2 linked regions of the Pelodiscus sinensis genome follow. The protein of the gene in region 1 interacts with the protein of each later gene in a pairwise test. Links are inferred from orthologs where the notes say so. Each region holds a gene or a part of one and is shown on either strand. Other genes may lie near its edges.

Region 1 (4,211 bases):
GTCCGCGCCAGCTCCGGGTCCAGCTGCTCCGGCGCCGGCTCCCCGCCCCCCGGCGAGAAAGGGGGCGGCCCCCCGTCCTCCTCCGCCCCGCCCCCCTCCAACTCCGGGGTGCTGCGCCCCGGCCACTGGGGGGCCGAGAGAGGGGACAGCTTCTCCCCCAGCTCCGAGGGGCTGCGGGCGGGCGGCGTGGCCAGCCCAGCGCCCCCTTTCCCCGGGGCCTCCCCGGGGCTGGCGTGCCCGTTGCTGAGCGACTTGCGCCCCCCGCTCTCGGAGATCTTGAAGAGGGGGATGCTGCTGACGGGCAGGGAGGCCATGGGCTGGCTGAAGAGGCCGGGGTTGGAGGCCCACTCCCTCAGGGCCTTCTGCAGGCGCCGGACGTGCAGGGGCTTGGTGGCCATGCCCACCAGCGCCATGATCTCCAGGAACTCCTCCTCGCCCGCCTCGCACAGCTGCTGCACGTCATCCCCGCCCTGCTGGATGAAGGTCTCGTAGTAGGAGAGCAGGTTCGCTCGCTGCAGCACGCGGTACAGCTGCAGCTCGCCCAGGGTGCGGGGCAGGGCCATGGCGAGGGGCAGGCCTGTGAGGGGAAGAGGGGACATCAGGGCCAGAGCAGGGCGATGGGGGGAGGCGAGCGGAGAACCAGCGGCCGCTTCCCCGCACTGCCTGGCCGCAATCCCCCACTGCGCTCTGCACTGCACCCCGCCAATTCCTCCACCCTCGCCTCCCTGCACTGCATGGCTGCAATCCCACACTGCATTCTGCACTGCACCCCGCACTGCACCCCGCCGATTCTCCCACCCTCGCCTCCCTGCGCTGCATGGCCGCAATCCCCCACTGCGCTCTGCACTGCACCCCGCCAATTCTCCCACCCTCGCCTCCCTGCACTGCATGGCTGCAATCCCACACTGCATTCTGCACTGCACCCTGCCGATTCTCCCACCCTCGCCTCCCTGCGCTGCATGGCTGCAATCCCACACTGCATTCTGCACTGCACCCCGCCAATTCTCCCACCCTCGCCTCCCTGTGCTGCATGGCCGCAATCCCCCACTGCACTCTGCACTGCACCCCGCCAGTTCTCCCACCCTCGCCTCCCTGCGCTGCATGGCCGCAATCCCCCACTGCGCTCTGCACTGCACCCCGCCAATTCTCCCACCCTCGCCTCCCTGCACTGCATGGCCGCAATCCCCCACTGCATTCTGCACTGCACCCCGCCAATTCTCCCACCCTTGCCTCCCTGCACTGCATGGCTGCAATCCCGCACTGCACTCTGCACTGCACCCGCCCAATCTTCCCGCCCTGCGCCTAGCACCCTCGCCTCTCTGCACTGCATGGTGCAATCCCGCACTGCTCCCTACACTGCACCTGCCCAATTTTTCCATCCTGCACCTAGCACCCTCACCTCTCTACACTGCATGGTGCAATCCCCCACTGCTTTCTGCACTGCACCCTGCCAGTCCTCCCACCCCGCGCCTAGCACCCTCACCTCCCTGCACTGCACGGCTCCAATTCCCCACTGCTTTCTGCATTGCACCCCACCAATATTCTTTCCCTCACCTCTTCATGGTTCGTGGCTGTAACCCTCCACTGCATTCCACACTGCATCCCCCCCCCAAACCCGTTGCACCCTCCCCCCCACGTCCACCAGCTTCCCAGGTCTGCATCCAGCATCCTCACCTCCTTGCACTACAGGGAAGCAACTTCCCACTGCACTCTACCAACCTCCCTGCACTGCATGGCTCTAAACCCTACCCCTTCCCACTGCACCCAACCAACTTCTCTGCACTGTACCTAGCACCCTAACCTTCCTGCACTGACTTGCTGCAACCCTCCTCGTCACGCTGCACTGTTCTCCACCAGCTTGCCCGTTCCCCTCTGCACTGCACCTGCCCAATTTTCCCACCCTACACCTAGCACCCGAGCCTCCCCGCACTGCATGGTTGCAATCCCTGCTGCACTCTGCACTGCACCCCGCCAGTCCTCCCACCCTGCGCCTAGCACCCTCACCTTCCTGCACTGCGGGCAGCAGCCTCCCCTCACTGGATTCCACACTGCACCCTACCAGTGTCCCCCCCAACTGCACCCAGTACCTCCTTCACACTCTCCCAGTGCCATCCAGCCCCCCCCCCCCAGTATTTTTGCAGAGGGCTCTCGCTAAGGGGCAGTGCCCCATGTCCTCAGAGAGAATCCTGCTTTTCTCAGTGCCACTGGGACCTGAGATACACATGGCTCCAGATGGCGAGAATGCCGCCCCCCCCCCGGGTGCCAGCACCCCAAGGAGCCGGGGCAGTTGGCAACCAGCTTGGAGAGCCTGATCCACTGATCACCCCTCTCCACAGCCCCCTGGCCAGCCCCACTCCCACGCAATCTGGAGGGTCTTTCTCCTTCAACCAAGAGACATCCCCGCACCCAGCCTCTGCCCCCTCCCCCGGAAATGTCTGTGTGGCAATGCCCCCCCCCCCAGACAGGGGTGCTGGGGGTACATGGCAGCTCCATCCCTGAATGGGGAAGGAAGAAGACCCCAGCCCCTCCCCCATCCACTTTCCCCAGCATCCCAGATCCCTGCTCAGGTGCCTTATTCCCATCCCCCCAGGCCCACATCCCAGCAAGACGCTCTGAGCAGTGTGTTGGGGGGGGGGGGGGTACAGTCCCGAGACCCCCCCCCCCCCAGCTCTGCTCTGACTTTGCTGGTCAACTAGCCCCTCCCCCAAGCCCAGTGGCACTCTGACCAGCTCCTACCCAAGCTTCCCTCCCCAGGACCAGACCGACCCCCCCCCAGCTCACCTCCTGCCCCTCTTCCTGCCCCCTGTGCCCCCAGCACTGCCCCTCCCCCACTCCTCAATACCCGAAATTATCCTGTGCCTGCCCCCCAGCGCCAGCCAGCACCCCCCCCCTCCCGTGCCAACCCCACTTCCAGCCCCCCGCCCCCGGCTCCCCCCTGCCAGGCCCCACCCCGCGCCAGCCCCCGCCCCCATGTGCCAGCCCCCCCTCGCTTACTGGCCTGGCTGGAGCTGCGCCCGGCCGCTCTCGCTCCCAGCTCCGCGGCGCCTCGCCCGGGCATGGACGGCGGCGGGGGGCCGGGCGGGGGCTCTCCGGGGTCCCCGCTGCCCCGGACCGGCTGGATCGCGCCGCGCTCCCGGCTCGGCACCGGCCGCTCGCTCGCTCGCTGCCTCCGCCGCTGCGCTCTGCGCGCCGCCCACACGCGATTTACAGAGAAATAGCAGCGCCCGGCTGCGCGGCGCGGCGCGTGGGAGGCTCCGGGGGCGGGACCCAGCGGCGCCTCCCTCCGCCGGCCCCCGGAGCGGGCCGGGCCGATCGGCCGAGGGGTCGGAAGCGGGGGGCGCGGGGCGCAGGCCGGGGGGAGCGCAGGGGGAAGAGGGCGGGTGTGGGGGAAAGGGCGCAGGGGGAGTGGGCGCCCCGGGGGGAAGGGAGAGGGGGCGGGGGACGGATGAAGGGGGGGATCCCAGGGGGAGGAGTCCGGAGGGAAGGGGCGCAGGGAGAGTGGAGGGCCCAAGGGGAAGAGGGAGGCGCGGGGGATGGGGCCCAGGGGAAGAAGGGTGCGGGCTGGGGGGGACCCAGGGGGAGGAGGGTGCGGGCTGGGGGGGGCAGGGGAGGAGAGTGCGGGCTGGGGGGCGCAGGGGAAGGAGGGTGCGGGCTGGGGGGGGCAGGGGAGGAGGGTGCGGGCTGGGGGGCGCAGGGGAAGGAGGGTGCGGGCTGGGGGGGGCAGGGGAGGAGGGTGCGGGCTGGGGGGCGCAGGGGGAGGAGGGTGCGGGCTGGGGGGGGCAGGGGAGGAGGGTGCGGGCTGGGGGGCGCAGGGGAAGGAGGGTGCGGGCTGGGGGGGGCAGGGGAGGAGGGTGCGGGCTGGGGGGCGCAGGGGGAGGAGGGTGCGGGCTGGGGGGGACCCAGGGGGAGGAGGGTGCGGGCTGGGGTGTGCAGGGGGAGGAGGGTGCAGGCCGGGCCGAGCGCAGGGGGAAGAGGGAGGGCGCGGAGGAAGGGACATAGGGGAGAAGGGTGCGGGCTGGGAGGGTGCAGGGGGACGAGGGTGTGGGCTGGGGGGCTGAGGGGAGGAGGGTGTGGGCCAGGCGGAGCGCAGGGGGAAGAGGGAGGGCGCGGGGGATGGGGCCCGGGGGAGGAGACGGGGAGGAGGGAGGGCACAGAGGAAGGGACATAGGGGAGAAGGGTGCGGGCTGAGGGGAACACAGGGGGAGGAGGGG
Region 2 (4,211 bases), on another chromosome or scaffold:
AAAAAAAAAAATCAACTTTCACATGCTCACTTTCCCACTACAGTAAAGAGTAAACACAATAGTTTATACCGTGTATTTTAATGCCTTAGTTTCAGATATTGTGTGCTTTGTGATAGACACAGTAATTATTATTCACTCCATGCAAGACAACACATCTTTAACAATTTACTTTTAATCATCTCTATAGTTTGAGTTATTCTTTTATAAGTAATTTCAAATGAGACAGAATTTCAATACCTGATGACCAAACTAGAACAGAAGACTGCACAGGATCAAGATCCTCAGACATCTGAGAAATCATTTTCTGTAAGGTATACCCTTGTCTGGGCATAGCAATATCATTCTTCTTCAAAAAAGTTACTGGACAAAGATCATTCCCACCATCACCTACATATATAATTTTTGTATATTTTACTCCTTCCTGTAATTTTTTATCCACAAATTCTTCCAACACTTTTCTTTTGCAGAGATTTTTAGGGCACTTTGCACAATGATGAGTGTGAAAATTCTGCAAAGTAAGATAGCCAGCACCACTGAAAGCTGCAGGATTTGTAAACACTTCATCAAGCACTGCATGAAAGTTAGCAGCTTTTAAAATCCAGTCAATAAATACTGTATTAGAATCGGAAATTATTATACAATCAAAGAAATCTTTGTTCTTGCCAATAAAGCCTAAAAGATCTCTCATTCCTGTAGTGAAAGGAATTGTTGTCATAGTTCTTTTCATTTCATCTTCTCTTACGCCACTGTCTCCCAAATATTTAAAGACTCTGCCCATGTATTCTGTCCAATGTCCTTTTTTATACGAATTTCTTAGTTTGTTAGGCAGTTTTTCCTCAGGAGCACATTTCACAATCCAGGTGTCACTATTTTCATCTATGACCGTATAGTCAAAGTCAAAAACCAGCAGTAACTTCATAGTTGTTAGATAAGAATATATGCTGGAAAAAAAACATTTTGTTTATATAATCAGAAGCTTCTACTAAATATTAAATTCCTATCACGACCTCCTGCTTTGAAAAGGGCAAGTCTACCACAAAAAAGAGTCAAGACAAATGTATAAACATGGCTGTTTCTGGGCACTACAGCTATGGGAAAGGCTGTGCTCAAGTGAGCAGATGATCTGTAAAGGTCAAAAGTCTAATTCACTATCCAGCTACATTCTTAATTAGATAGTATAAAGGAGTATTGGAAACAACATGTTTATTACTCAGTCTTCACTAACACAAGTTCAATTTAAACAATCTGGCTGCACTACAGTTCTAATTCTAATTTTTTTTTTTATCCACATGGTCAATCAAAGCAACCCTCAAGACTGAAATTCTTCAGCTTTCTGACAGGAGATGGAAGCATTTTATGAAAACCTTGAAAGAGCCATTTGTAGCTGCTGCTGTTGCTAGTTTAACTAATTTTCTTCTTCCACTTAAAAAACCCTACTAACAACATTCAAGCAGGCACCTTGATTCAAAAAATCAAGAACACAAATAACCTTTGTGGTGAATATTAGTGTTGACTTGCTATAGGAAGATTTGTAGGTAGCTTAATTTACTGTGGTTCTACAGCATTAGCATTTATAGACAAGTCCTGGGGTAACCAAACAGCCTAGAGAAGGAAACAGCTCACCCTTTCTTTAGTGTAGTTCTAGGCACATATTTTGTTTACCTTGGGAATAACTTTGCTCATCACTTTTTCCCATTCAGAAAGAAGCCAGGCAAGTCCAGGGTGGTTGGGTTTCAACATTTGAACTTGAGTTCAAAGTCTCTCGCTCAAGCTTCATGGGGTGGCGGAGTTCATCTGTACAGGATAAACTTAAAAAAACAAATGATCTGGTAGCACTTCATAGAATAACAAACACATAGATGGTATCATGAGCTTTCCTGGGCACAGCCCACTTTTTCAGCTGACCGAAATTTTTGAGTTTAGGATGTGCAGACTCAAAATAAATAGGGTCTCTCTCCTGTCAGCCCCAACAGCTCGATAAAGCGCATTTACAACACAGATGTCGAGCAGCGCATCAGACAACATCACTCGGCATCCCCCGCACCCCCAACAGAACAGCGCCCCGCACAGCAGGGACAGGCGCAGCGGGAGCGCCGGGATCCCCGTTCTCAGCTACGCCCAGGGGTCCGGGCAGCCGCAGCTCGCGCTAACGGCAGCAGCCGGCGTCACTCAGCGTCACGCGCAGCAGCGGGCCCCGCGCGGGTCGCTCACCCCCTGCCTCTGGGCGGGCACAGGAACCGCAAGCGGACCCAAGCTCAGTGCGGGCCCGAGAGCACAGGCGGGGCGGAGCCGCTACACCGGCACCGAGCGGAGGCGCCAGACCTGGGCAGGCGCTGCTGCGCCCCGGCAGTCCGGCCAGCCGCTTCCGGCCCCGCCCCCTCCGCTAAGTCACGTGACGCAGCTCTTGGCCTGTCGCGCCGTCTTCCCCCCCCCCCTCGGTTGCCTGGTAACCGCCGTACACAGGCCCCGCTCAAGGCGCCGGCTTGCTGGCTTATGGAGGCGGCCGCCCGGCCCGCGGCGCTGTTCGGGCGGCGCAAAGGCCAGAGACGAGGGCCCGCGCGTGAGTGACACGAGGCGGCCGGGGCGGACACGCGAGTGGCGGGGCCACGCGGACGGACGGTACCGGGACGTGGTGCCCCAGGGGCGCAGCGGCCGCCTCTGGACCTGCGACCTGGTGCGCGCCCAGGCCCCTGCAAATGCGCCACGCAACCCCGGGGCCCCGATTTCTCCCTGGAGCCCAGCTGGCTCCCACGCGCAGCGCCCTGCCGCGAAGGGAGGGGAGACTCCGCCCTGGCGTTACGTGGGGGCGAAGGCCGCGGGTGGCTAGTGCGGAGAGGGGCGGATTGGCGGCGATTGGCACCTACATGTCTGAGGCGGTGGTGTCCGGACACGGGGCTGACATGCCAGGCACAAGGAAGGCGGCGATGATGCACGACACAAGAGATGCATTGGAACAGGAGTGGGGGGGGGGGGCACTTCATGAATTTCAGAAGTGGTCCAGAAGGAGCGGGGCCTTGCACAGAAGGGATGAGACCAGGAGACTTCACTCTTCTCCCTCACCCACAGACCCGGATTGGCCTGGGAGTGGGAGAGTGCATGAAATCTTTGTCACCCCTGCCCTGCCAGGGGCAGGTGGTGCTTAGAGAAAACAGGCACCCGTTTTAAAAACTGCTGGTTCCTTCTGGTGCCACGCACCCCTGGTGGGGGTGGAGAGAAGGGACTTTGCCACTCCCCCATCCCTAGGTCTTAATTGGACTGGGGGTTGGAGAGTGGCAGTGGGCACGATCAGAGGGCTTGGCAGGCTGGATGCAGCCCACAGAGGGTGTCTTGCGCACCCAATATTAGAAGTTCTGGAACTAACACGTTAGAATGATGCTTAGCCTAAAGAGGAATCCGATGTGGAGTGCATAAAAGAGAATGTGCACCTTTCTTTCTTCTCACTGCAAATGAGTCCTTGGGCTCCTATTTTGGCATCCAAGAAAAGTGCAGGAGAAATACAGTGCAACCCCCTTTATCCATTCCTTTCCTGGGTGACCCTTCAAAAATGGCAACAAATATTGTAAACAAAGAACTAGGAAGGCTGGATATCGGGTAATTGAATAGTTATGTAGCTGCATGAATTCTTATCCATTACACAACTCTTCGATAGTCCCCAGGGTGGGACCAGCAGCCAGTGCACTCCGGCCTCACTCCCGGGGTGCCCCTGCCATCCCATGCTTCTGTCTCTGTATCAGAGGTAGCAGCACAGGGTGCCAGGTGGGAGACAGTCCACGAGGGGAGCCAGTTTAAAAACCAATTCTCTGCTTAGACTGGCTACCTGCCACCTTGCACTGCTGTCTCAGAAACAAAGGCAACAGCATGGGGTCGTAGGAGCCCCTGTCCACAGGAGCTCTGAGCATCCTGCAGACAGAGGCTGGAGCAGCCTCTGTCCATGGGGAGCACGGATCCCCCGTGGATAGGGTTGCTGCCAGGGACCAGCCTCTGTCCGCAGCAGGCCCAGGCTTGCCATGGACAGTTGCTGCTCCATGGGAGGCAGAGCAGCCTCTGTCCACGGGGAGTCTCCTCTGGTCCCCTCTACGCTGCTGCCTTAGGGTATGTCTACACTACCCCACTAGTTCGAACTAGCGGGGTAATGTAGGCATACCGCACTTGCAAATTAAGCCCGGGATTTGAATTTCCCGGGCTTCATGTGCATAAGCGGGGAGCCGCCA

The links.
Region 2: the proteins of NAB2 (region 1) and PHOSPHO2 interact in binary tests that used the Homo sapiens proteins (3 or more experiments, as listed by UniProt). The two-hybrid records come from large-scale screens. The link is inferred for Pelodiscus sinensis from reciprocal best matches to the Homo sapiens genes NAB2 and PHOSPHO2.

Annotation. Positions count from the first base shown.
Region 1 is NC_134729.1:3,396,879-3,401,089, forward strand, and holds the start of NAB2 (NGFI-A-binding protein 2), read right to left. Parts: upstream 3,229-4,211; 5' UTR 3,059-3,228; coding exon 2,995-3,058; intron 578-2,994; coding exon 1-577. UniProt on the Homo sapiens protein: Acts as a transcriptional repressor for zinc finger transcription factors EGR1 and EGR2. Isoform 2 lacks repression ability.
Region 2 is NC_134717.1:39,921,599-39,925,809, reverse strand, and holds the start of PHOSPHO2 (pyridoxal phosphate phosphatase PHOSPHO2), read right to left. Parts: upstream 2,755-4,211; 5' UTR 2,624-2,754; exon of another isoform or gene 2,561-2,623; coding exon of another isoform or gene 2,494-2,560; exon of another isoform or gene 1,809-2,493; 5' UTR 1,663-1,808; intron 942-1,662; 5' UTR 920-941; coding exon 194-919; 3' UTR 1-193. Other genes in the region: CFAP210 (cilia- and flagella- associated protein 210), read left to right, coding at 2,494-2,560. UniProt on the Homo sapiens protein: Phosphatase that has high activity toward pyridoxal 5'-phosphate (PLP).